3 linked regions of the Canis lupus familiaris genome follow. The protein of the gene in region 3 interacts with the protein of the main gene of each other region in a pairwise test. Links are inferred from orthologs where the notes say so. Each region holds a gene or a part of one and is shown on either strand. Other genes may lie near its edges.

What was found. The genes of interacting proteins can lie anywhere in the genome.
Region 1: the proteins of EHMT2 (region 3) and RD3 interact in binary tests that used the Homo sapiens proteins (3 or more experiments, as listed by UniProt). The two-hybrid records come from large-scale screens. The link is inferred for Canis lupus familiaris from reciprocal best matches to the Homo sapiens genes EHMT2 and RD3.
Region 2: the proteins of EHMT2 (region 3) and MX2 interact in binary tests that used the Homo sapiens proteins (3 or more experiments, as listed by UniProt). The two-hybrid records come from large-scale screens. The link is inferred for Canis lupus familiaris from reciprocal best matches to the Homo sapiens genes EHMT2 and MX2.

The regions. Positions count from the first base shown.
Region 1 is NC_049228.1:9,728,709-9,734,965, reverse strand, and holds the end of RD3 (protein RD3), read left to right. Parts: intron 1-3,203; 5' UTR 3,204-3,250; intron 3,251-3,601; 5' UTR 3,602-3,785; coding exon 3,786-4,081; intron 4,082-5,722; coding exon 5,723-6,029; downstream 6,030-6,257.
Region 2 is NC_049252.1:35,747,837-35,755,417, reverse strand, and holds part of MX2 (interferon-induced GTP-binding protein Mx2), read right to left. Parts: intron 6,565-7,581; coding exon 6,430-6,564; intron 4,292-6,429; coding exon 4,137-4,291; intron 3,966-4,136; coding exon 3,827-3,965; intron 1-3,826.
Region 3 is NC_049233.1:1,475,567-1,483,147, forward strand, and holds part of EHMT2 (histone-lysine N-methyltransferase EHMT2), read right to left. Parts: intron 7,396-7,581; coding exon 7,258-7,395; intron 7,128-7,257; coding exon 7,013-7,127; intron 6,855-7,012; coding exon 6,753-6,854; intron 6,523-6,752; coding exon 6,374-6,522; intron 6,277-6,373; coding exon 6,133-6,276; intron 6,054-6,132; coding exon 5,818-6,053; intron 5,740-5,817; coding exon 5,557-5,739; intron 5,460-5,556; coding exon 5,377-5,459; intron 5,000-5,376; coding exon 4,893-4,999; intron 4,792-4,892; coding exon 4,669-4,791; intron 4,582-4,668; coding exon 4,480-4,581; intron 3,636-4,479; coding exon 3,531-3,635; intron 3,428-3,530; coding exon 3,273-3,427; intron 3,185-3,272; coding exon 3,017-3,184; intron 2,646-3,016; coding exon 2,501-2,645; intron 2,178-2,500; coding exon 2,100-2,177; intron 1,804-2,099; coding exon 1,688-1,803; intron 1,581-1,687; coding exon 1,494-1,580; intron 121-1,493; coding exon 42-120; intron 1-41. UniProt on the Homo sapiens protein: Histone methyltransferase that specifically mono- and dimethylates 'Lys-9' of histone H3 (H3K9me1 and H3K9me2, respectively) in euchromatin.

The DNA.
Region 1 (6,257 bases), on a different chromosome or scaffold from region 3:
ATGGGATCTCAGTTTTGCAAGATGAAAAAAGTGCCAGAGATCTGTTGCCTAACAAAGTGCTTATAGTTAACACCACTGTACCGTACACTGAAAAATGTTTCTGACTGTAAATTTTATGTTATTTACTTTTTAAAAACCACAACAAAAGGAAAATAGAGATTGGATCAGAAGGACCAGCCCTGAGTTGCCAGCTGGGAGGCAGCGCGGCAGCTGTAATATACTTGACAGATGGTCAAGACCTAAACTAAAGGGGGAGACAGAGAACAGATTTAGGAGAATTACAATTCTTAAATTTGTAAGAATCAACAGGATTTGGATGCAAGATTTGACAGATGAGGCAAAGGGATGAGATGAGGGTGGTGCATCAGTCTGGGCGAGTAGATCATGCCCACTGCCACACTGGGGCCCCAGGAGAAGCAGCAGCCACAGGGGAGGGATGTGGGAGCTGTGGGTTAGGGTGCGACTGGAACATGCTAGGGGAAGGGCCCAGGAAGCATCTGGACACCACGACCTGGAGTTCTTGAGACAAATGGTTTCTGACGAAGTAGTTGGAGTGTGTGAAAGGTTGGAGCCTATTAAAATAAGACAGCCTCAGACAGAGGCCCAAGGGACAGCGACAACCCAAGGAAAGACAGGGGAGGGGAGCCCCTCTAGGGTCTGAGAGCAAGTCCGGAGAAATATCAAGGTACGAGTCAGACCAGGGCAGGACCTAGACCAACGATTGTGCTCTAATGGAAGCCAAGGAAAGGTTCTCTTCAGAGGAAAGCGTGGTCAGTGTGGTTGGGCTGGGAAGCCTCAGGTGAGTTGGGAATGTGCTGTCGGTGGGGGTGTGGCGGGGAGATGAGGGTGTTTGGGGGGGAGGATGCTTGAGGCAGGTTACATTCATTCAAGGGCATCACATCCCTCCACCCTGAGCCTCACCAGTCTCTTCTTCATTCATTCACCTTCCGGGCTGGTGCAGCTCAAGGGATGGGTGCCCAGCATTCAGGGGCAGGTGCAGTATGGCCTGGTGATGGTGGGGGCATGCTGGGGTGGAGGGGTTGTGGGAGGTTTACCTAAGAAGTCTTCCTGGGGAAGGAGAGCCAGGGCCAAATGTGGAAACCTTATAAGGTGAGGCTCTTAGCAGAGATGGGGGAACCATCCTGGCAGGGGGACCCCACATATCCTCATGACCCCACAGCTCAGCCAATCTCTCATCCTCAGGAGGGGTCTCTGAGTGATGGGAGAATGTGGAACCATGGCAGCCAGAGGAAATTGTCCTTCCCATGGCCGCTGACAAAAGCCCCCTCATTCAAGGGAGGTCAGATTGGTGGGGCTTGCTCTTTTTTCTTTTCTTTTCTTTTTTTTTTTTTTAAGATTTTATTTATTTATTCATGAGAGACACAGGCAGAGGGAGAAGCAGGCTCCCTGTGGGGAGCTGGATATGGGACTTGATCCCTGGACCCAACCTGGGATCACGCCCTGAGCCAAAGGCAGATGCTCAACCACCGAGGCACCCAGGCGCCCCTGGGCTTGCTCTTTCATCATCATGCATGCATTCATTCATTCCTAATTGATTCCTTTGTTCATGCATTCACTCACTCATTCATTTGTTTGGTCTTTATTAAGCACCACTGCGGTGCTATCCAGCAGCAGGGATGGAAGCAGAATAGGGCACGGTCCTCGCCCACATATGACACACAGAGTGGGGGAGTAGACGGTCACACTCCATAAAGCGTTCCTGGTGCTGTGAAAAATGTCTGTACAGAGTATAGGCAGGGTACAAAGTGGGGAGTGGTCACATCAGGAAAAGCGTGTCAGGAAACGCTTCCAGAGAGGAGCTGACCCTAGTGCCAAGTCCCAGGCAGGGGAGGGAGGGGCACTGGAGACAGCGTGGGGCTACGAGTGGCTGAGCACCGCCAGCAGCCCCTGCGGGAACTGGCAACCCATCCATATTTGGAGGGCCCTTCACGGGTTGAATGAACACCTGAAATGACACCATTCACTCAGCACCAACCTGACCCATGTATTTGTAAAAACACAAACACCTGCTACTATAGGAAACGTAGCACATCCAGTTGCAAGGTGTCCCACTGCCTGATTCAGTCAGATCCCTGGCCTTGGGAAGAGGCTCCTGGGGCTCGTGGCTCTCAGGACGGAGCACAGCCCACCTGCATCCCCCACTCCCCCCCCCGCCCCCCCCCCCCACTGCCCAGCCTTATTATTCTGAACACATGAAGCAGTTAAGGGCGGAGAACTAAAGGTCCTAACTGTCCTGACCCCAAGAAGAGGGTCTGAGGGTCTGTGTCCTTCCCTTCCGACCTCTCAGGAAGGAGCCCGGGTGTAATCTGAGGCCCAACCAGTGACAGACTCAGGCTGAGTGGAGGATGAAAGTTTTACATTTCCTAAATATAATGGTTGCTAAGGGAATTGGTTATTCACAGGTAAAGAGGAGGTTTGATTGCTGCCACCCCCCCACCCAGGAGGCTATTGTTTCCCCATAATACATTTCCTATTTGTGCCCGATTCTCCAGCATTAACATTTCTCTGAGGGTGGTGGGAGGGCTGCCTACAACTGTGCGTATCTCCACGCCTCATGGCCATTGTTGAGACTGAGTTCATCGGCATCTGGGGGGTCTGGGCAGGAAGACCATTGGTGTACGGAACGGGGAGCTTCCTGGAGAGGGAAAGGCATAGATGGGGGAGCTGGGGCACCTCAAAGACCCACTTCAGATTTTGGTCCAGGAATGGTCCTCACCTTCACTGTCGTCAGAGGCACAAAACCGCTTCTGACAGGCATCCTGGGATGGCAGTTCATTTACCCATCTCTCCATCCATCCGTCCGTCCATCCATCCATCCACCTGTCCATCCATCCAGTCAGTCGTTCACCAAACCTGTCTTGTGTAAGACCTCGTGGAACTATGATGAGCTCAGGTCGCTGCTCCTGCACCTGATGCTCCTTGCACACGGCTCACCTTGTACCATCGCTGGGTCCTCCACCGGGGGCAGCTTCTCCAATGGTCCGTGTGCCTGAAGCCCACACTCCCCCTTCAGCCCACTCTTGTTCACAAGCCCTCTTTGACCCCCTCTGTCACCTAGAGTCACTCCTTTCCCTCCCCATCAGTACTGACACTATGCTTCACCCACCACATTACCTCTTCCCACTGACATCTGCGGGACAGCAGCAGCCCTGACGTGCTTTCGTGTTTGTGTTCCTCCGCAGATGTGGACACAGCCCTTCATTAATGCTTCCGGATGAACGAATGAATGGTAGGTAAGCTGTGTCTTTGGCAGGATGACGGCAACCCCAACCAATTCCAAACTTCCTTCAGCAACAGGCAGGGGCGTTAAGAAATGCAGGTGTTCTCCAGTTAGTTTTCCCTAAAGTGTCATGGATTTTCTCCCCTTAAATTGCAAGGATAAGCTCGTGCTCAGCCGCACACAGTTTATTTCCTTCTTTGTTTGGAGTTAGCCGGGATTCAGGAGGCATCTTCTCTGGGCTCAGCCATCGGGGTGCACTAGGGGTCCATGAGACTCTCATACCCTTACGCGGTATGAGTCTTAGAGCACCCCAAGTTTATTCACAACTGCTTCTCACGACAGCCCAATCTTGTCTTGCAGAATTAGAAGTGATGGCTCAGAGAGGTTAAGCCCCCATCCGGGCCTTCCAGCTGTGAGGGCGGGCAGGGCCTCTCTCTTGGGTCCCGGCTCTCCTCCCTCCCCCTCTCCTCCCCCCCAACTCAACCGACAGAGCGGCCCAAGAGAGACGCACTCCCGCCCTGCGTCAGCAGGGCCGAGGGGGGCCATGGCCCTCATCCCCTGGCTTCGCTGGAATGAAGCCCCCCCGCGGCTGTCCCCCCGGAGGCCGGCTGAGATGGTGCTGGAGACGCTCATGATGGAGCTGGCGGGGCAGATGCGGGAGGCCGAGAGGCAGCAATGGGAGCGCAGTAACGCGCTCAGGAAGGTCTGCACCGGCGTGGACTACAGCTGGCTGGCCAGCGCGCCGCGGCCCACCTACGACCTCAGCCCTGGCGAGCGGCTGCAGCTAGAGGACGTCTGTGCCAAGATCCACCCATCCTACTGCGGGCCCGCCATCCTCAGGTAACCCCCACCCCCCTCCCAGGCCAGGCCTTGCACCGCAGGCTGCGGCGGTGTGGCTGCAGGGGCAGGGGCCCGAGGCCCCCAGGACGCGAGCCAGGGCCCCTGGATGACCCAGGGACCTGTAAAAGGAGCGGCACCGCAGGCTGCAGGGGTGTGGCAGCAGGGGCCTGAGGCCCCCAGGATGGCAGCCAGGGCCCCTGGATGACCCAGAGATCTGTAAAAGGAACAGGGCAGAAGCAAGACTCTGCAAGAGCCCATAGAACACCAGGCCAGAGCCGGGGTTCAGAGGGAGGCAGCAGGCAGGAGGCACATGACTTTTGATGGGAGAGGACCCCAGGCCTTTGAGCTTTCTGTTCTCCCTGGATTATCATTGCCCCGGATTTTAACACAGCGGGCTCTTTCTCCTTCGTCGGTTCATCTTCCATATTCCCTTCTTAGAAAGGCTTTCCAGATAGTCTTCCCAGAGTTCAGTCTTCAGTATCCTAGTTCACACTAGCATTCGTATTAGTTTGCCTCAAGGGACTATGCGTGCATGTGTCTGCACATGTGCATAAGTGTGTATGCGGGGTGTTCAGAGCCCTGGGGCACTGAGCATTTAGAGATTTAGAGCTTAGGTACAACAATGTCCCTGAATAAAGCTCTGACCCACGTGCCCCAGTCTTGGTTGGATTCATGTTAAAGTCAGAGAAGTGTAGTCCGACAACCAACAGTAATTTCAAAAGTTATTCGAGGTCTTCTTCATCTGCACCTCTCAAACACTAGTAAAGGGATGCAGATCCACCGTAAAACACCTGAACATGCCTCCAATCTTCAATCACCTATCTCTTTAACCAATGTAAGCATCTATTGTACCTCTTTCTTTCTTGGAAAATCTCCTTAAAACTCCTTCTCCAGTCCTATCCATGCCCCTTTGGATCTTGTAGTCTTTTGCACCCTCCGCCCCCTTTCTTCCTCCAGGCTGAGACTCTTACCCAGTTTCTCTTGTTCCGTCCTATGCAATCCCCGCCCCCCTCAAAGTGTACCTACTTCCAGAAGCACCTGGGGACAGGGGTGGGGTGAGTCCTGGGGGTGGTGCTGATGAGAGAATCCGGGCTGGTAAACCAAACCTCATACATACACACATAGGGTCATGATGGTCCCCTCACATTTCCCGATTCTCCATATGGTGGAGGAAACCAGGTGTTCAAGGGACTTGCTAACCAGCCTCCTTCGTGTGGAGCCCTAGGCAGGCACGTTTGAGGCCCAGGAAATCCTCGCCCAGCGGGTGGCCGGGGCTCTGGAGGGAGTGTGGCAGGTGGCAGGGCGGTCATTGCACAGATACACATTTGCAAGAGACCACTAGGGCCTGCGAGGGGGGGGGGGGCGAGGGAGGGGCCCCCCGGGAAGCCTCACTCGGGGAGGCCCAGGCTCCCCTGACTGCCCCGGCGGCGTCTCACCTGAGATCAGCTCAGCGTCTTTGCAGCCGGTGGCTCCGAACCCCCACGGAGGGCCGCTAGGACCCCGGCTTCCAGGTGAGGAAGCTGCGGCCCAGGGAGGCGGGAGGTGGCGGGCGGGGCGGGGCGGGGCGGGGCGGGGCCGCAGGGGAGGCTCCCGGCAGGGAGGGCGCGGGACCCCCGCCCAGGCGCCCCTCGTCCCGCGCAGGTTCCGGCAGCTGCTGGCCGAGCGCGAGCCCGAGGTGCACGAGGTGTCGCGGCTCTTCCGCTCGGTGCTGCAGGAGGTCCTGGAGCGCGCGCAGCGCGACGCCGCCGCCCGCCCCCGCCCCCGGCCCTGGAGCCTGCGCCCCCCCCGCGCCCCCGCGCTGGACCCCCGCGGGCCCCGCGCGCGCGTCTCGCCCTTCGCCGGCCACATCCGCACCGTCTCCGAGGACGTGGAGCGCGACGCGCCGCCGCTGCGCACCTGGAGCCTGCCCGAGTTCCGGGCGCCGCAGGGGGGCCGCCCCGCCAGCTGAGCACCCCCCCCCGCCCCCGCCCCCGCCCCCGCCCCCGAGCCACGGGAGGGAGCGGGCCTTCCTGCCGCCCGCCCCGCCCACAGGCTCAGGGTTAGGGCTGGCGGCGCGGGGGAGCCCCTCACCCCCCATCCCTACCCCCTGCACCCCCATCTCTACCCCACACCCCCATCCTTACCCCCTCGCCCCCACCCCATCCCTACCCTACTCACCCCCCACCCCTCCCACCCC
Region 2 (7,581 bases), on a different chromosome or scaffold from region 3:
TGTGGGTGGGTGTCTCCTCGGACATCGTCTTCTCTGCCTCCGTCTCTCCCATCTGTCCCCACACCCTCCCACTTAGATTGGATTGAAAGCTTTGAATTCTGAGTATCTATTTCTATTTGTGTTCTGGAGGTGTCAGATTGCCACTACGTTGTGTTTTTTGTTTTGTTTTGTTTTTTTTTTGGGTTTTTTTTTTTTTTTTTTTGTCTGTTTAGGGTGGAAATCTAATGTCATCTTCTACTATCTTTGTCCTTGTTTTTGATTTGTGGTTAAGTCTGGCCATCTGGTCTCTCATTTCCTGAAACCTTCCTGGCACCCAAGCAGTTGAACTTCTCTCTCTCTCTCTCTCTCTCTCTCTCTCTCTCTCTTCTGTTTTGCCTTCCTATTACCAAAGGTTGTCATTAAGAGCATAGCTTACGTTCATTAAAAGATTTGTGTGCACACAGACCGTCGTGTTCCCACAGGAGCCGACAGGTCTCTGAACCTGCACCTGCAACCTTCCATCAGTAGAGGAGAGGACCCCTCCTTGGAGCCAGCGGTCATTCAGGAAAGCCTAGATCGCTGAACTATATTCTGAGATAAACTAGGCAGATAATAAAGAGTGAGGCTTGCAATGAGTTCTCCCCCTCTCTGGAGTCAGGGGGTCTTCTCACCCAGTGTCTCAGTTTGAAGCCAAGAACTCAAGCAGGGAAAATCTCATGCCTCCATCGACAGCCTCCGCACATGAGCATCACCTAGGGTCCCAACTCCTGGGCCATGGAGAAAGGCACTGTCAATAACTTTTAGATGCCTTAGTTTTCTTCTGTTTAAACTCTTTCCTGAGTAGATTACATATTCCTATTGAATTTTAAAAATGCTTATTAAGTACACTGCTTTAGGTATTGAGAAAGTGGCAGTGAACAAGACTGCAAGTCTCTAATTTCGTGGCTATCCTCTCACCTTCTAGTGGGTAAAAGCCACATAAATTAGTCCAGTAATATACAAGAAACAAAGAGAAAGTATCTGATATTGAGAAGTGCTAGGCAGAGAGTTAAAATCCAGTCATGTGTTGGTCAACGAGTGCAGGCAGGGGGGCATGGTGCAGTGTTGGGTTGGGTGGACAAGGCAAGCTGAGATCTGCAGGAGAGGAAGGAGCCAGCCCTGCGAGGATGCAGAAAGAGCAGTCCAGGCCCTGGAGACGACAGCTACAATGGAGACCAGTGGGCAAAGCAGAAGCGATGACAACCACGATCAGAGAGGCATAGGGAGCCAGGTCACGGAAGGCTTTGGGTTTATGGTTTATGGATGTGAGGTGGTAACATTAGTGTAGAAGCAGAGGAGGGGCCTGACTTTGTTTACCTATTTAAAAACCAGTGGAGGGTGCACTGTGGGCAAGGTGAGTGCCTGGAGACTATAGGAAGAGGTGTGAGTCGCCCAGGCAAGAGATGATGGGGGCCTGGTCTAGTGGTGACTATGCAGATGGAGAGCAGTGGACAGACTTGGTATTAGTTTTGGAGACAGTCACCAGGACTCCAGCTGAATTAGCCATGGAAGCGGGGGAAGGAGGAGTCACGTGTGAGTCAGACTTGGCTCTAGAACTGGCAGGTGTGGTGCTGTGAGTGAGGTGGAGAAGCCATGGGAGAGAGATGAATTGAGGAAGCGCGGGGTATCGGGGGTTGTGTTGTGGTCACATTACCCTGGAGACATTTAATAGACATCCAAGTGGAGACATCAAGCCTAGGGAAAGGTAAGGGTCACAAATTTAGATCTGGGAGTTGCCAGCATACAGACGGACTCAAAGCCGTGGCCGGATCAGCTCGCCTAAGGAGCACGTGTGATAGAGGGGAGATCTCCGAAGCAAGTTTTGGGTTTCCGATATTTCGAGGTCAGAGAAATGAAGAGACACCCGGACAAGACTAAGAATGTGACGTCCGGTGGCCGGTGAAGGAGGAGACGGAGCACGCGTCGTGACCCTGAAGCCAAGAGGCTGTGCGTTAAGGCGAAGGATGGAGAGATGGCAAGAAGGAAGCAGTGGTGAGCCGTCTGACCGTGTCCGAGGTGGAGAAAGATGGGGACTGAGGAGCGACGGCAGGTTTGTTGGCATGGAGGGCATCGGTGACCTTAACAAATGCCACCTGTGTGCCATGGTGGCCACAGGAGTCCCACCGGAGTGGGCCGAGTAGACAATGTGCACTTAGCAGTGGAAGGTGGAGGACCCGCCTCGCGGACCACCTGCGAACATCCTGGCTCACAGTCCTTCCCGAAGCTTGGTGTCATGTAAACCACTGCTACGGTGGTGGTCACACTTGTTCTGTTTTCACCCTTTGGAAGTACGGTATAGATAGTCATTCGGCTCTCTTTTTAAAAAATTGTGGCAAAATACACCTAACGCGTGGGGGCAGGAGAACAACTCAACTAATGAGAATAGGATGCTTCCTCCTTCACTCCACCTTCAGTTATCCTGTTTTTAAACAACTGTGTGTCTTTAAAAATTGTGGCAAAGTCCGCGTAACATCAAAGCGACCGTTTGGGCCATTTGAAAGGGAACAGTTCAGTGGCATCCAGTTACTCATTGTTGTGCAACCCCCTCTGCCAGGATTGGTTTTCTTCTTGCAGAACTGAAACTCCGCATTCATCCACTAACTCCCAGTCGCCGCCCTCCTGTAAAGATACTAATATCCAGCTAGCTGACCCTACTAAACCGATGATGTTACCTACCGTGGCCATCGGTGAGCCATCCCTCCTGACCTAGGATTGAGAGAGGACAAAGAGCGTGGGCCCTACAATGACCGGGGTGACCCAAAGCCTGAGTGTTCTCTCTGGTGCGGTGTGTTGGTGATGCTTGGAGAAGTTGACAGAGAACGGGGCACAAGCGTGGTCTAGCGTAGAGTGAAACATTATTCATGAGGTGTGTGCCCCTCATATTCATTTCCAACCTTACTGGAAAACCAGGCCTTTATTTGGGAAGGCGCAGGAAAGGCAATTATAAGCCGAGTATGCGTTTAGTCAGGGGAATGACCTGCAAATCTGCAGGAGGGTCAGCTCTCTGGGTAGGCGGGATGATCGGTGAAGAAGTGATGCTGAGTGATAATATCACTAATAAAGAAATAGCAGCTATCAGTTGCTGAGAAAACTCTACGTGCCCAGACCTGAGTACCATCTTCATGGAGTCCTCCCAACCACCCAGCACTTAGGACTGTTAGTCCCATTTCATGGATGAAGACAGTGAGGCCAGGAGAGGTTAAATATATTACCCAAGGATACACAGCCAGTAGGTGCTAGATTAAGGATTTGAACCCCAGACAGTGCGCACTCTTAAACCGAGTTCCCTGTAATGCCTTCTAGGGTGACTTTTTTTTTTTTTTAAAGAAATTTAAGAGAACCTAGCTCCCCGCGAAGAGTTCTGCTTGAATACAAATCCTGCAGACTCCGGCACCCCAACATCAGCCCAGTAGAATGTCCACTGAGGTCTGTAGGAAGGTCTTTTCCACGTCAGGTGGCAACAACCTTACCTGCGGAATGGCGGAGCTGGTGGGCCAGGCTCTTTCTCCTTTCCCAACCGTTGTGGGAAACAGATAAGGCAGTTCTTGCCCCACATCCGGAATGGTTTGTGAATGCAAACGGGGGACGAGAGGAAGGAGGGTGGAGAACCTCCAAATTCTGGCCATGCATCTAACCCTGGCTGTGGGTGGAGATACCCACCCGTGGTGTGTGAATGCACCCTGAGCCCACGGAGCTCCTGCTGGGAACAGCACTTGCCTCTAATAGTGCTAGATTCTAGGACCTTCTAAATATATAAGAAGGCTCCCCCTCCCTCCCATCCTCTGGAAGCTTGGTTCTGTCTTCTTACCTATGGTCCTGTCTCCATTGGGGTCCACCTCCTGAGCCATGCTCAGCGCCTCCGTGGTGGCGATGTCCACGTTGCAGGGGACCACCACCAGGTTGATCGTCTCTTGCTTCTGGATGTAATTCTTGATGAGTGCCTTGATCTGATACCAAAAAACAACAACAAAAACCAAACGACACAAAGGAAGAGTGCGTACGTCTCCGGTCAACCAACACCACAAGGGAGGCAGTCCAAAGCCCCCGGGGCTCCCCACGAAGACCCAGAAGTCTCCCCATCTTCAGCTTGGCCCATTCCCAAGTTCCAGAAGGCCTACCTGCACTCCGATGTCCTGGGGCTGATTTCCCACAGCCACCCTGGTGATGCCGGGGAGGTCAATGAGGGTCAGATCGGGGACCTCAGGGGAGGTGATCTCAAGACTGATGAGCTCATGGCTGATGCCAAGTCCCTGCCCAGCTATGATGTTCTGAGCTGTGGAGGCCAAGAGAGGGGAAACCCAGAGTCCAGGTTAATGACCTGTCGGAGGAATAGCAGTTGTAGGGGTCTCTGGGGCCACTTCGGGGGCTATTGAACACATCAGCCTCCCTGAAAGTCTGGAGGAAAACATACCAATATGTTCACAACGGGATACGGATGGGTTCTAGTCTCTCTCTTTATGCTTTTTAATATTTTCCTGTGAGTGTTAATAATTTCCACAAATTCTTCCCCACTCTTCCCTCCAAACGGTGAAGCCCTGCATGGGGGCTGGACATAGGGACCTCCGCCTAAAGATAGATAGGGTGGAAATGATGGCGTGGTGTGTGACCAGCAATAAGTACATCGTGACCGCCGCCTGCTTTCTCTGGCGTGGCTTACCCTGGGGGAAGCTCACCTGTCCTGAGGACACCAAGCACCCCCGTAGAGGTAATAGGGTTCAAAGACAGAACGAATTTTTCTTTTTGAGCTGGCCTCGAGCTCTGCTGGTGCAAGAGGACGGTTTCCGCCCTCCCAGAGCGTGGCCAATGGGTGGACAGGGTCCCTGGGTCCGATGTCCGAAGGCACACACAGTTGTAATGAAAACTCAAGTGTCAGCAAAGAGGGCCCCTCAGTGCCATCGATGGGGAGCTTCCAGCACCCCTGCAAGCCGAGGCTCAGTGTGCCGAGAAGTGACATGCAGATGGGGATCCTGGGGATCTCCACCCCAGGGCTTCGCAGAGCACATCCCAAGGCCGGAAGGAGGACATGGAGGCAGAGCTGAGCATGTCTCCCCCGCCCCACTCCCCCCATCACTCCCCAGGTGCCCCGCTGTGCATGCACCTGGCTTGCCTGTCACTCACAGTGACATCCCTCGGGCAGGTAGCGGCCACCAGACACACCAAGGGTATCTTGCCCCTTCCTGGGAGCAGCCCCCTGTAGGGACGCTGGAGTCTTCCCACAGGCTGTCAACTTCACAACCACGACAAGGGACCAGCTAAGATGTCTTGGGCACACACCTCAGAGCCAGCCCCTGCTTCATGCACATGGGGCCCGAGCGGTCACGGGGGAGCCCTGAGTTCGGAAGGGTCCCCTCCTGGTTTACTAATCTGCTTTCACGGTCTTGAAATTCTTAGTGATTCTGAACCGAGGGGTCTTGCAGGATGACTGCGCTGGGCCCCCCAGTCACGCAGGTGGCCATGCTCTGGGCACGGGTTCTCGCACTCCGCGTGCGTGTGGCCCATCTGGGAGCCTGGTTAAAGTCCAGGTCCTGACCTGGCAGGTCTGGGGTGTCTCCCGGAGACTGCAGGGCCAATGAGCCCCCAGGCAGTGTTGCTGCTGCAGATCGGGGGCCACACCGAGGGGCCGGGGGCTAGACGGCTTGGGGAAATCAGAACTGAGATGGATGGTCTAGGGGAGGGGAGGTTTCGATGGTGAATATCAGGATTTGTGGGACACACATGCCAAGGACATAGGGGTTGCTGGTCACCCACTCGGGGGGGAGCATGGAGACATAAGGACAATGCTCCCCAGTCCCCTGGCCTTGTCCCCGAGGGTGGCCTCTGTCCTCACCACCTCCCTGCCTCCTCCACTTCTTGGAGTGAGCCCCAGAGCCCCGTGGAACAGGCAGTGAGGCCTGGAGTATCAGGGCTGCAAGAGCCCTGGGGGTGGTCATCTACATTCAGGGGTGAGCACAGGAATTGGGGGCAGGATGTCTGCCCTTTGGATGAAATCCCTCTGCTGAGCCATCTGAGGCCCTGGGACATGGGATTCTCGGGGAGCTGAGCTCCGGGGAGTGACGGGAAGGCCTCGCCCTCGCAAGCTGTGTTTGTTACCAGTCACAGGACCCCTCACCCCATCCCGCATTCCGAAAGGCCTCCTCCTGGCTTAATAATGCGCTTTTATGCTCTCCAGAGCAGGGCCTCGGGACAGCGGGACAGCGGTGACCAGGACAGCAGGGAGTCCTGCGGGGGGCACTTCCCGCAGGAGGGGGCAGTGTGCGAGGCAGGAGGAGCAGCCCGTGGAAGAGCCTGGAAGGAAAGGCAGCAGGCTCGCTGGTGGGGACCAAGAAGCCCGAGGACCAGGAGGCAGAGAAGAGGCCAGGACGGGGAGCGAGCGGCCCCGGAGCCGCACCTGCAGAAACCCGGGCCTCCTACCTTGGCGGATCTCCTTCTCCACCTGGGAGGGGTCCTGGAACTGCAGCTCCGTCTTGCGGTAGCTGATCCTCCCCCTCCACGCCTTGTGCGGATCCCTCTTCAGCTTCAGCACCAGCGGGCACCGGGTCACGATTCCTGAGACAGCGTCCCGAACATTGTAAGTTCCCTTTAACAGGAGGGTTCGCAGGGCCCCCTCCTCTCACCCCCTTCCCCCACCACCCCAAAGGACCTGCCCCAGTGTCCCCGTCTGAAATCTCGGTCCCTCGCCAGGACCGAGACTGGGGGGCCTGGACTGGACGGGCACAGAGGGTCGCAGGTCCGAGGACAGAGGCGTTTGGAGCTGCCCCCGGGGTCTGTTCTCTGTGGCCACCCAGAGCCTGCAGGCCACCACGGCCACGGTCCCCGCCACGATGCTGTGAGCTGAGGCTCTGGTGTCTGAGGCCCCCCAGGACTCTTGGGCTGGAGTCGCACCTCCGGCTTTGGCCGTGGGGCCTGCACCTGTCCAGCTGGCCACTGTGGGCGGAGGACAGGTGGAAACGTGGGAGCGGTGGGATCTGTCCCCCCACCTCGAAGCCCCCTCACCCCAGGGGTCGGAGGGTGCAGGGAGAAGGCAGCAAGAGCCAGGGCAAGAGTCCAGACATCCAAAGGAGGCGGGTCAAGGGTGTTCTCAGGGCGCCGTGTGCAGCCTGAGCTCAGAAAGGCTGGAACCGCCCAGAGCTTCTTGGGCGAAGCCCCGGGCACTGCGTGCGTCCTCCATGTGCTGGCCCTTTAAGGGCTGCATCATCTCCTCCTCCAGCCTGGGGACAGGCCCAGAGCCACACGCGTGTCACTGGCCTCCAGACCCTCCACCAAGCTGCACCTCTGCCCAGGATGCTGACCCCAGGGCAGAGCAGAGGAGCGACTGCTCCAAACCTTCCCTCTCTCATGCATCAGGTGCCCGCAGGGCTGAGCAGGACCTCACAGGACACCCTGACGTCAAGGACCCACTGCCAGTGGCCGGGAGAGGGTGCAGGCCGGGGTGCCCGGTGGGCAGCCCTCCGGGGTCCCCACGCCCTCCTCTGTGCCTGGGGGCGGCCTAGGCGAGACGGCATCGGTGGCCCCCAACCCCTGGGTTCGGGTCGGGTCTGGGACCAAGGGAAGGGACCAGGATGG
Region 3 (7,581 bases):
CTGCCCACTGGGTGTGAAGGACAGAGGAATTTCTTGCCCACCTTGTTGTCTAAGTCGAAGAGGTAAGAATCATCCTCTCTCACATCAGCCTCAGCATCAGAGATTAGCTCCCCGACATACCTATTGGGCAGGAAGTGGCGGTTCCGAAGGTGAGCAGGGATTATCCAGAGCTGGCTCCAGGCCCTGTCTCTCCTCATGACCCCATGGGACCCTCTTCCACCACATGTCAGCTGCCCTGGTCTGTGCCCATGAACCCCACAGATCTGTATGGGCGGGTGTTGGTGGGCATGGAGGACAGCCGACTCCAGATGTCATGGGATGGGGGAGGAGGACGCCCCCCCCCCCCCCGCCCCGAGAGTGAGAAGCAGGAGGAACAGGGACACAGCACGGGAGGGGACAACGCAGAGTGTACTCCTGTCAGCTATGGTCTCCACGGACAGCTGCACCAACAGGCAGGACCAGCGAATGTGGGGGAAGCTGGGGGCCAGTAGGCCAGGGATGAGCTGGAGAAGCAGCCAGGGAAAGGTAAAGGGAAGGGCCAGAGCTGCGCCAGAGGAAGATCAGTGAGCCCCTGTGGCTCAGTATCTGTGGGCATGTGGTGTGGGTGGGGAAATCCATGTGAGTTTAATCCCTGGCAGGTCTGTGGACTAGGAACCACCCAGCAGGTGGTAGCGATGCCAGGCGACAGGACAGGAGAGGTGTCAGGGCTGCGGGAAGGGATGGAGCCATGGGGGCCATGAGAAATGCCAGGAAGGAGCTGGGGACAGGGACACCCACACTTAGAAAGCAGAGGAAAAGAAGCCGGTGAAGAAGAGGGATGCATGGGACTGACGTGAGGACAGCGTCGTGGGAGCCAAAGCGAGGACCAAGATGCAGGGCAAGGCACGGGTAGTTGGGAGGCAGCACTGGCAGGAGGGTGAGGGCAGAGGCAGATTCTGGCAAGGATGAGCAGTGAGTGGGTGGTGGGGAGCCTGAGGCCCAGGAGGAAGGGGCCATTTGAACAAAGTTGAGAGATGGTCCAATAAAGAGATGGAGGCCCCTTAAATAGGCAAATGGGGCTGAAGGGGGGCCTAGATGAAGACTGAGCCGTGGAGGAGGAGCCAGGTGACGGACGGGGTGACAGATGCTGGGAAAAGAAAGAATTGCTGGACAGAAGCAAGGCCCGTACAGAGATGGACAGAAAGGCCGCATCATTACCTCCATTTTGGAGACAAAAAAAAAAAAAAAAAAAATGAAGCTCAAGCAGGCTAAGAACTTGGCCAAGGATTCCCAGTGGCAGAGCACAGCTCAAACCTGGGTCTGTAGGTCTCCAGGCTTGGAAAGGCAGGGCAGGGGAGGGGAGATGTTGCAGTGGTGGCAGGAGGCTATCAGGCTCTGCGGTCTGTGTGGGCTGGGGGCAGGTGCAGTGAAGGGGCAGGCCCACCAGGGAGGAGAGCCAAGGGAGACCTGGGAGTCAGCTGTGGCTAGGCACCGACCCCCTGACCCCTACTCACTCGCAGATGAAGGTCCCCTGGGGGATGGTCTGCAGGGCGCGGACCCCCCAGCCCATCTTGGCTGTTCGGTAGAGCTGCAGTCGCACTCTGGGGGTGGGGAGGGAGGGTGGTGTTAGGTGGAGGGACCTGGAAAGCCCCCATTTGAGGGGCACAGGGGTGGGGGGGTGAGGGCAGGCTGCAGGAGGGGTCCTCACTTGATGCCGCTCTGCACCACCCGGTTCTTGCAGTTTCTCCAGCAGGAGCAAGCCTGATTACACTCGAAAATCAGTGGGGGCTCAATCTTGTTAAATTCCTGGAGCAGCCGCCCGTCCTGGGGTTGAGGGTGGGGAGAGTAAGTGGTTTCTATCTGGTGCCCACCTCGACTGCCAAGGAACCCCCAGAAAAATCCACCACGGATCCCAACCCACCAGAGAGGGAGGACAGGCTGGGGAGGCCACACATGTGGAGCTCAGACAACAGGAACCCCATCAAGCCCTTAATTTGCATGCAGCTGGCACAGGCCCATCTCCCCCTAGCACCCTCCCCACAACCCCTGCTTTGCCCTGCCCTCTTTTCATGAGGGAGGAAGAGAGGGACAGGCGGCTTGGATGGGGCAAGCACACGCACCTTGTCATACCAGCAGCGGATGCTCAGCTGGCCACAGAGGCAGTTGGAGCTGGAGCAGTCGTCCACACAGGTGCAGTGCTGGCGCAGGAGGCAGGGGGTTAGCCCGATCCTCAGAAGCAGCCCTATCCCCACAGTGCTCCCTGACCCCTAACCACTGTCCTTTCTCTAAGATCACTGCTTTAGAACAGTGGGGGCTGATGGTCCCAGGATGAGGGGGATTCAAAATGCTAATTACAGGGGTACCCAGGGCCAACATGAGCCCGTAGACCTTCATGTGTCCTAAAGAAAGGACCCCTCTCCCAAGTGGATGCAGGCCCACCCCCAAGGTCCCTTCCAGCCCCACTCCCCTGGCCAGGTGGCTCGTTGGCCCACAACTTGCCCAGCTGTGCTTGGCAGCTCACTTGCAAGTGGGTGATGTTACGGTCGATGTTCATGGTGGATGTCTCGCAGTTCTCTGAGATGTACTTGTAGTCCTCAGGGCAGGGTTCCCCGTCCACACCGTTGACACAGGGGATGGGCACGTTCTCATAGCCCCGAGCCACATCCCTGACACAAGGGGAATGGGGGCTGGGGTGAGGGGGTCCACAAGGTGCAAGGAGAGGCCTGAGAGGTCCCTGGGGCCGTGGGAGGAAGGGGGTGGTTCTGGGGGCTCACCGGGGTGGGGGGAGTAAGGTGGTCAAATAAACTAGAGGACAGCCCACGAAAACTGGATTTCAGATAAATAGTTTTTTTTTTTTTTTTTTTTTTACCATAGATAAGTCCCCAGTGCCATGTGGGATGCTCTTAACACTAAAAAAACATGCACTGGTCATCTGAAATCCTCCTTTAACGCTCTTTTAATTTACTGTATCTGACATCCTAGTTAGGGGTTGGCTCTGGGGATTCAGGGGAGCCTGGGGAGGGGACAGAGGGCTCACCGACAGATAATCTTCTCGGTGCGGATGGCCCGGTTCCCCACTCCAAGCCGAAGCTTGCGATTGAGCTGCAGCGCAAACCACACATCGGAGCGCTCGGGGGTCAGGTCCCACGCTGTGTCCCCCTCCTTGTTCCGCAGCTCCGGGTTCGCCCCACGTGACAGGAACAACCTGGGAGGGGACGGGAAGCCCGTGGGGCCTGGGGCCACGAGCCGAGCCGGCGGCAGGGTGTCAGGGTGCGGGGCAGGCAGGGGCTCACAGCACACAGTCGTGGTAGCTCTCCCGTGCTGCGATGTGCAGGGGCGTGTCCCCATGGTAGTTGACGGCGTGGAGGTCGCAGCGGGCGTTGAGGAGGACCTCAGCGATGGCCGCGCTCCCAGTGAAGGAAGCCCAGTGCAGGCAGATGTTTTCCTCCTGTGTGGGTGGGAGGGGTGAGGGTGGGTCTAAGCCGTGGGCGCCTGAACCCAGTCTCCTCTCTGCTCAGACCCCATCTCCCCTACCCCCACCAGACTCTCACATTGTCCGTGAGCGTGACGTCAGCACCCCGTGTCAGCAGCATGCGGATCACTTCGATGTGCTTGTGCTCTGCGGCCCAGATAATGGGCGTCCAGCCCCCACTGTCCTGTGGGTCGGGAGAGAGGGAGGAGGGTGAGGGGCTGCCGTCCCCTGCCCGGGGCCACCCAGCAGCTGGCCTAGCTTACCCAAGCAGTGCGTGGTCTAGAGCACAGGCCCTAGAGCTGGACTCGGAACAGGGGTCTCTGCTCCACCCCTCATGTGTTACAGGACCCTGGCTAAGTCTCTGAACGTCTCTAGGTCTCAGCTTCTTGATCTACCCCATGTGACTAATAGCGTCTACTGCTCAAAGTTGTGGAGTAATTTTTCTCTTTCCAAAAAGCACATATTTTTTAGGTCTTTCCACTCGAAAGTCCTAGGATATGGTAACCCAATAGCAATAACCACTGCTGAGGACACAGACCACGTCTCTAAAAAACATTTCCTGTTTAAAGGAACCAGAGTCCCTTAGAGAAATGGTAGATCAAGTCTGGGGCAGGAAATGTACTAAGAGGTAAGGATGCTCTTAGAAGTTGCTGGGTGGGACCAAAAGCCACAGGAGCCAGGCTCATGGGGTTCCTCCTGGACAAACCACAGGACAGTTCAAAGACTGAAAAATGACAGTAATGGGCTAAAACAGACCCAACATATGACACACTAAGAGGTAATAAGAAGCATCGCCACACATTCCTAGAGATTAAGGCAGCAACTGATCATTCCAAAAACATAGAAAGAAGCAAACAAGAAAAAAGTGGAAAAAAAAATACAAATGAAGAAAAGGCAAGAAATAGGGACAGACTGGAACAGAGTGATGGAAGTGTTGGAGATCAGCAGGGGCTGACAGGAGGCACAAAGGCCAGGGCTGAGCCAGGGGCCCGGAGGAAATTGGCTGGGCAGCCAGCCAGGCCACTCACCTGGGCGTTGACGTCCACCTGTCCTGTGCTGAGCAGCAGGCTGACCATCTCCAAGTTCCCGATTTTGGCTGCATGGTGGAGGCAGGTGGAGCCATCTTCCTCCTGAGGGAGATGTGGGCAGATGAGTCCCTTGCTGGCACCTCAAACCCTGTTTCTGACCCGAGGTCCCAGCTGGCCCGGTCACCACACCTTGCTGTAGACACAGCCGCCACGCTGCACCATGTAGCGAGCTACCTCCAAGTGGTTGTTCACTACAGCCTCCATTAGCGGGGTCCGCTGCTGCTTGTCTACTGCATTGATGTTGGCTCCAGCCTGTAAGGAGGGGGCATGTGGGCTGGCATCACAGAAGGGCTGGGCAAGAGAGGGGGCGCAAGGGCCTGGTCCACGAGACAGAGGGCCTGGTCCGAGCTGACCTGCAGTAGCACGTGACAGATCTCAACAGAGCCCTTCTGGGCGGCCGCGTGCAGGGGCGTGCGCTTGCTCTGCTGATCGCTCTGGAAGTTGGGGTCCAGGTTGTCCACTGTGGGGAGAGCCCGCCATACCGGAAGAAGGAGGGACAAGTGGTAAGTGACTAAGGGGCAGGTAGGACCTCCTCTAGGAAGGCTATGTGGGGTGGGGGGCCCTCTGGGCAACGCAGTTAACCTCTCTGGGCTTCCACTGGCAGGGCTGGTGTGAGTGGATGTGTATAAACACAGCACCTACGTGTTTGTCGTCACCACTGTCCCCATCATCCTGGGTTATCTGTGAGTATGTCTCCCCCTCCACGCTCCGTGTTTCGGGGCAAGGATGATGACCTTCACTGTTGTACCCCCAGCCCTGGGCCCGGGGTCTGGCATGTATGGTCTGGTGTTCCATCAAGGTCTGCAGAATGAATGAATGAATGAGTGGAATACTCACACAGCATCAGGATCACCTTCTGTAGCTCCCCCTGTTTCACTGACAGGTACAGCTGTCGGGGGTGGAAACGGAGTTTCTTCCGCCTGCCATGGTGAGGGAGAGGGGTAGGTGTCTCAGAAAGGGAACCCACCTTTCAGCCCCAGCCCTCATCGCCATGCCTGAGAGCCACCCCTCATTCACCTCTCTGACTCCTGGATGACCAGGGCCTTCTCCAGGGCCTCGCGGCCTGGACCCGGTGGCAGCCCCACGGCTGAGAGGCAGCCCCCATTGGGAAGGGTCAGGGAGGGCCCTGAGCTGTCGATGGTGTCGGCCAGAGGGTCGCAGGGTGGGCGCCGGGGCTCCCCATGCCCTCGCATCCGGGCACTGTGGGAGAAGGTGCTGATGTGTACCAGCAGTGGTGTTGGGCAGGGAACAGATAGTTGGGAATGGGAAGGCCAGTACCTGGGCTGGGAAGTGTCTGCTCTCCCAGGGGCATCCTGAGCCAGGGGTGGGGGGGCAGGGGCTGCAGTGCCAGCTGGTGGGGTCACCCCATCCCCCCGGGGGATGGTCACCTCCTGGGCCTCAGATGCATCCTCCCCACAGTGGGGACAGAAGACCATGCCATTCAGCTGGGACACACAGGCCTTGTGGAAGCGGTGGGCCACACGGAAGTCAGGGTGGCACTCCAGGAACGTGCCCTGGAAGACAAGGCATTCAGGCTCCGGGAGACCCCTCCCCCATGGGGCACGCAGCCTGTCTGCCCCACTGGTTACTCACCGCTGTACAGAAGTAGCCACAGCCGGGGCAGCAGTGGTGTTTGACCATGCGGGCACGGTGGGTCTCACAGAGCACCATCAGTGCCACGCGGCTTGATGGCCTCATCGTCTCCCGTTTGAGGATGGCAGCATTGCAGCCCGACAGCTGTGGCAGTGTGAACGGGCAGGAAGAGGGTGAGGCTGGGGCCTGGGGCTGGGTCCCCCCCACTGCCGGCACCTCTCCTATCAGCTCACAGGCCCACCTCTCCATCCACACTCTCTGTGGCCATGCACTTGTGCCCAGCTCTCTCGCTGATGCGGTCAATCTTGGGAGCCTCCATGCGGCAGCTGCAGAGGGGCAACTCCTCAAACCCCCGTTCCGTCTCTAGTGAAGACGTGTCATTGGATATCCCTTGGACGGAGGGAAAAGGGCGCTGAGCGAGGCCATCCCCATCACCCATGGGGACCCCTGGTGGGGCCTCTCACCCCCGCCCTGCTTTTCCCTCATGCTCTAGAACCCCTAAAGCCTGGCCATGGAAGGACAGACACCTGGGCTCCAGTGGGATCCTCCTCCTCCTCCCGGTACCCCCCAGCCCAGAGGCTGCCCCCTAGTGGCTCGCCATCCCAGCAATTGGCAATTACCAGCGTGGTTGGGGGAGAGGGTCCCCTCGCTGGGCAGCTCCAGGGACCCCAGAGGGACCTCCATGTACTCACTAGGGCCTGAGGAGCCCACACCATTCACTCCTGACATAGAGACAGAGAGAGTGAGAGCACGAGCTCATAGGTGCCTGGACACGTGGGTACATGCGTGAGTACATGCGTGAGCGTGTGTTTGTGCACGCTCTCTGGGGGCTGGGAGAGGGGCTGGAGGAGCAGACCCAGAAGCTGAGGAGCCTCCTCACCTCGTGGCTCCTTGGCCCGGGGAGGCTCGCGCTTCCGCCGTTTCCTAGACGGCTTTACCCATGGGCTGTCCTTCCGCCACTTCTTCTTGGCTTTGCGCCGGCCACTGGAGCCACTCTGGGATGGAGGAAGAGTTAGAGAGCCTGGGCCCCAGCCCACGACCTCTCCTCCCCTCTGAGGACTCAGACCTCTGGCCCCAATCCCAGCGTCCCCCCTGCTCCACAGGATGCCCGCTGCGAGCCCTTACCCGGTCAGACTGATTGCCTGATTCCTCGTCTTCTTCTTCTTCTTCTTCCTCTTCCTCTTCCTCCTCCTCTTCTTCTTCCTCCTCCTCCTCTTCCTCTTCTTCCTCACTCAGTTGTTCAGCCAAAGCTTCAACCTCAGACTGGGAGAGAGGCAAGGCAGGGCTGGGGAGACAGCAACCTCCAGCCCATAGCCCTCTCTTGCAGGTAACTTGAGAAAGAGACAGGGAGGGACTTATCCAACCCCAAAGACTAAGGCAGTGAAGCTGGAGAAAGAGCTACTACTACTGTCCCAGGATGGCTCCCTGGAGGTGAGCATGGATGGGAAA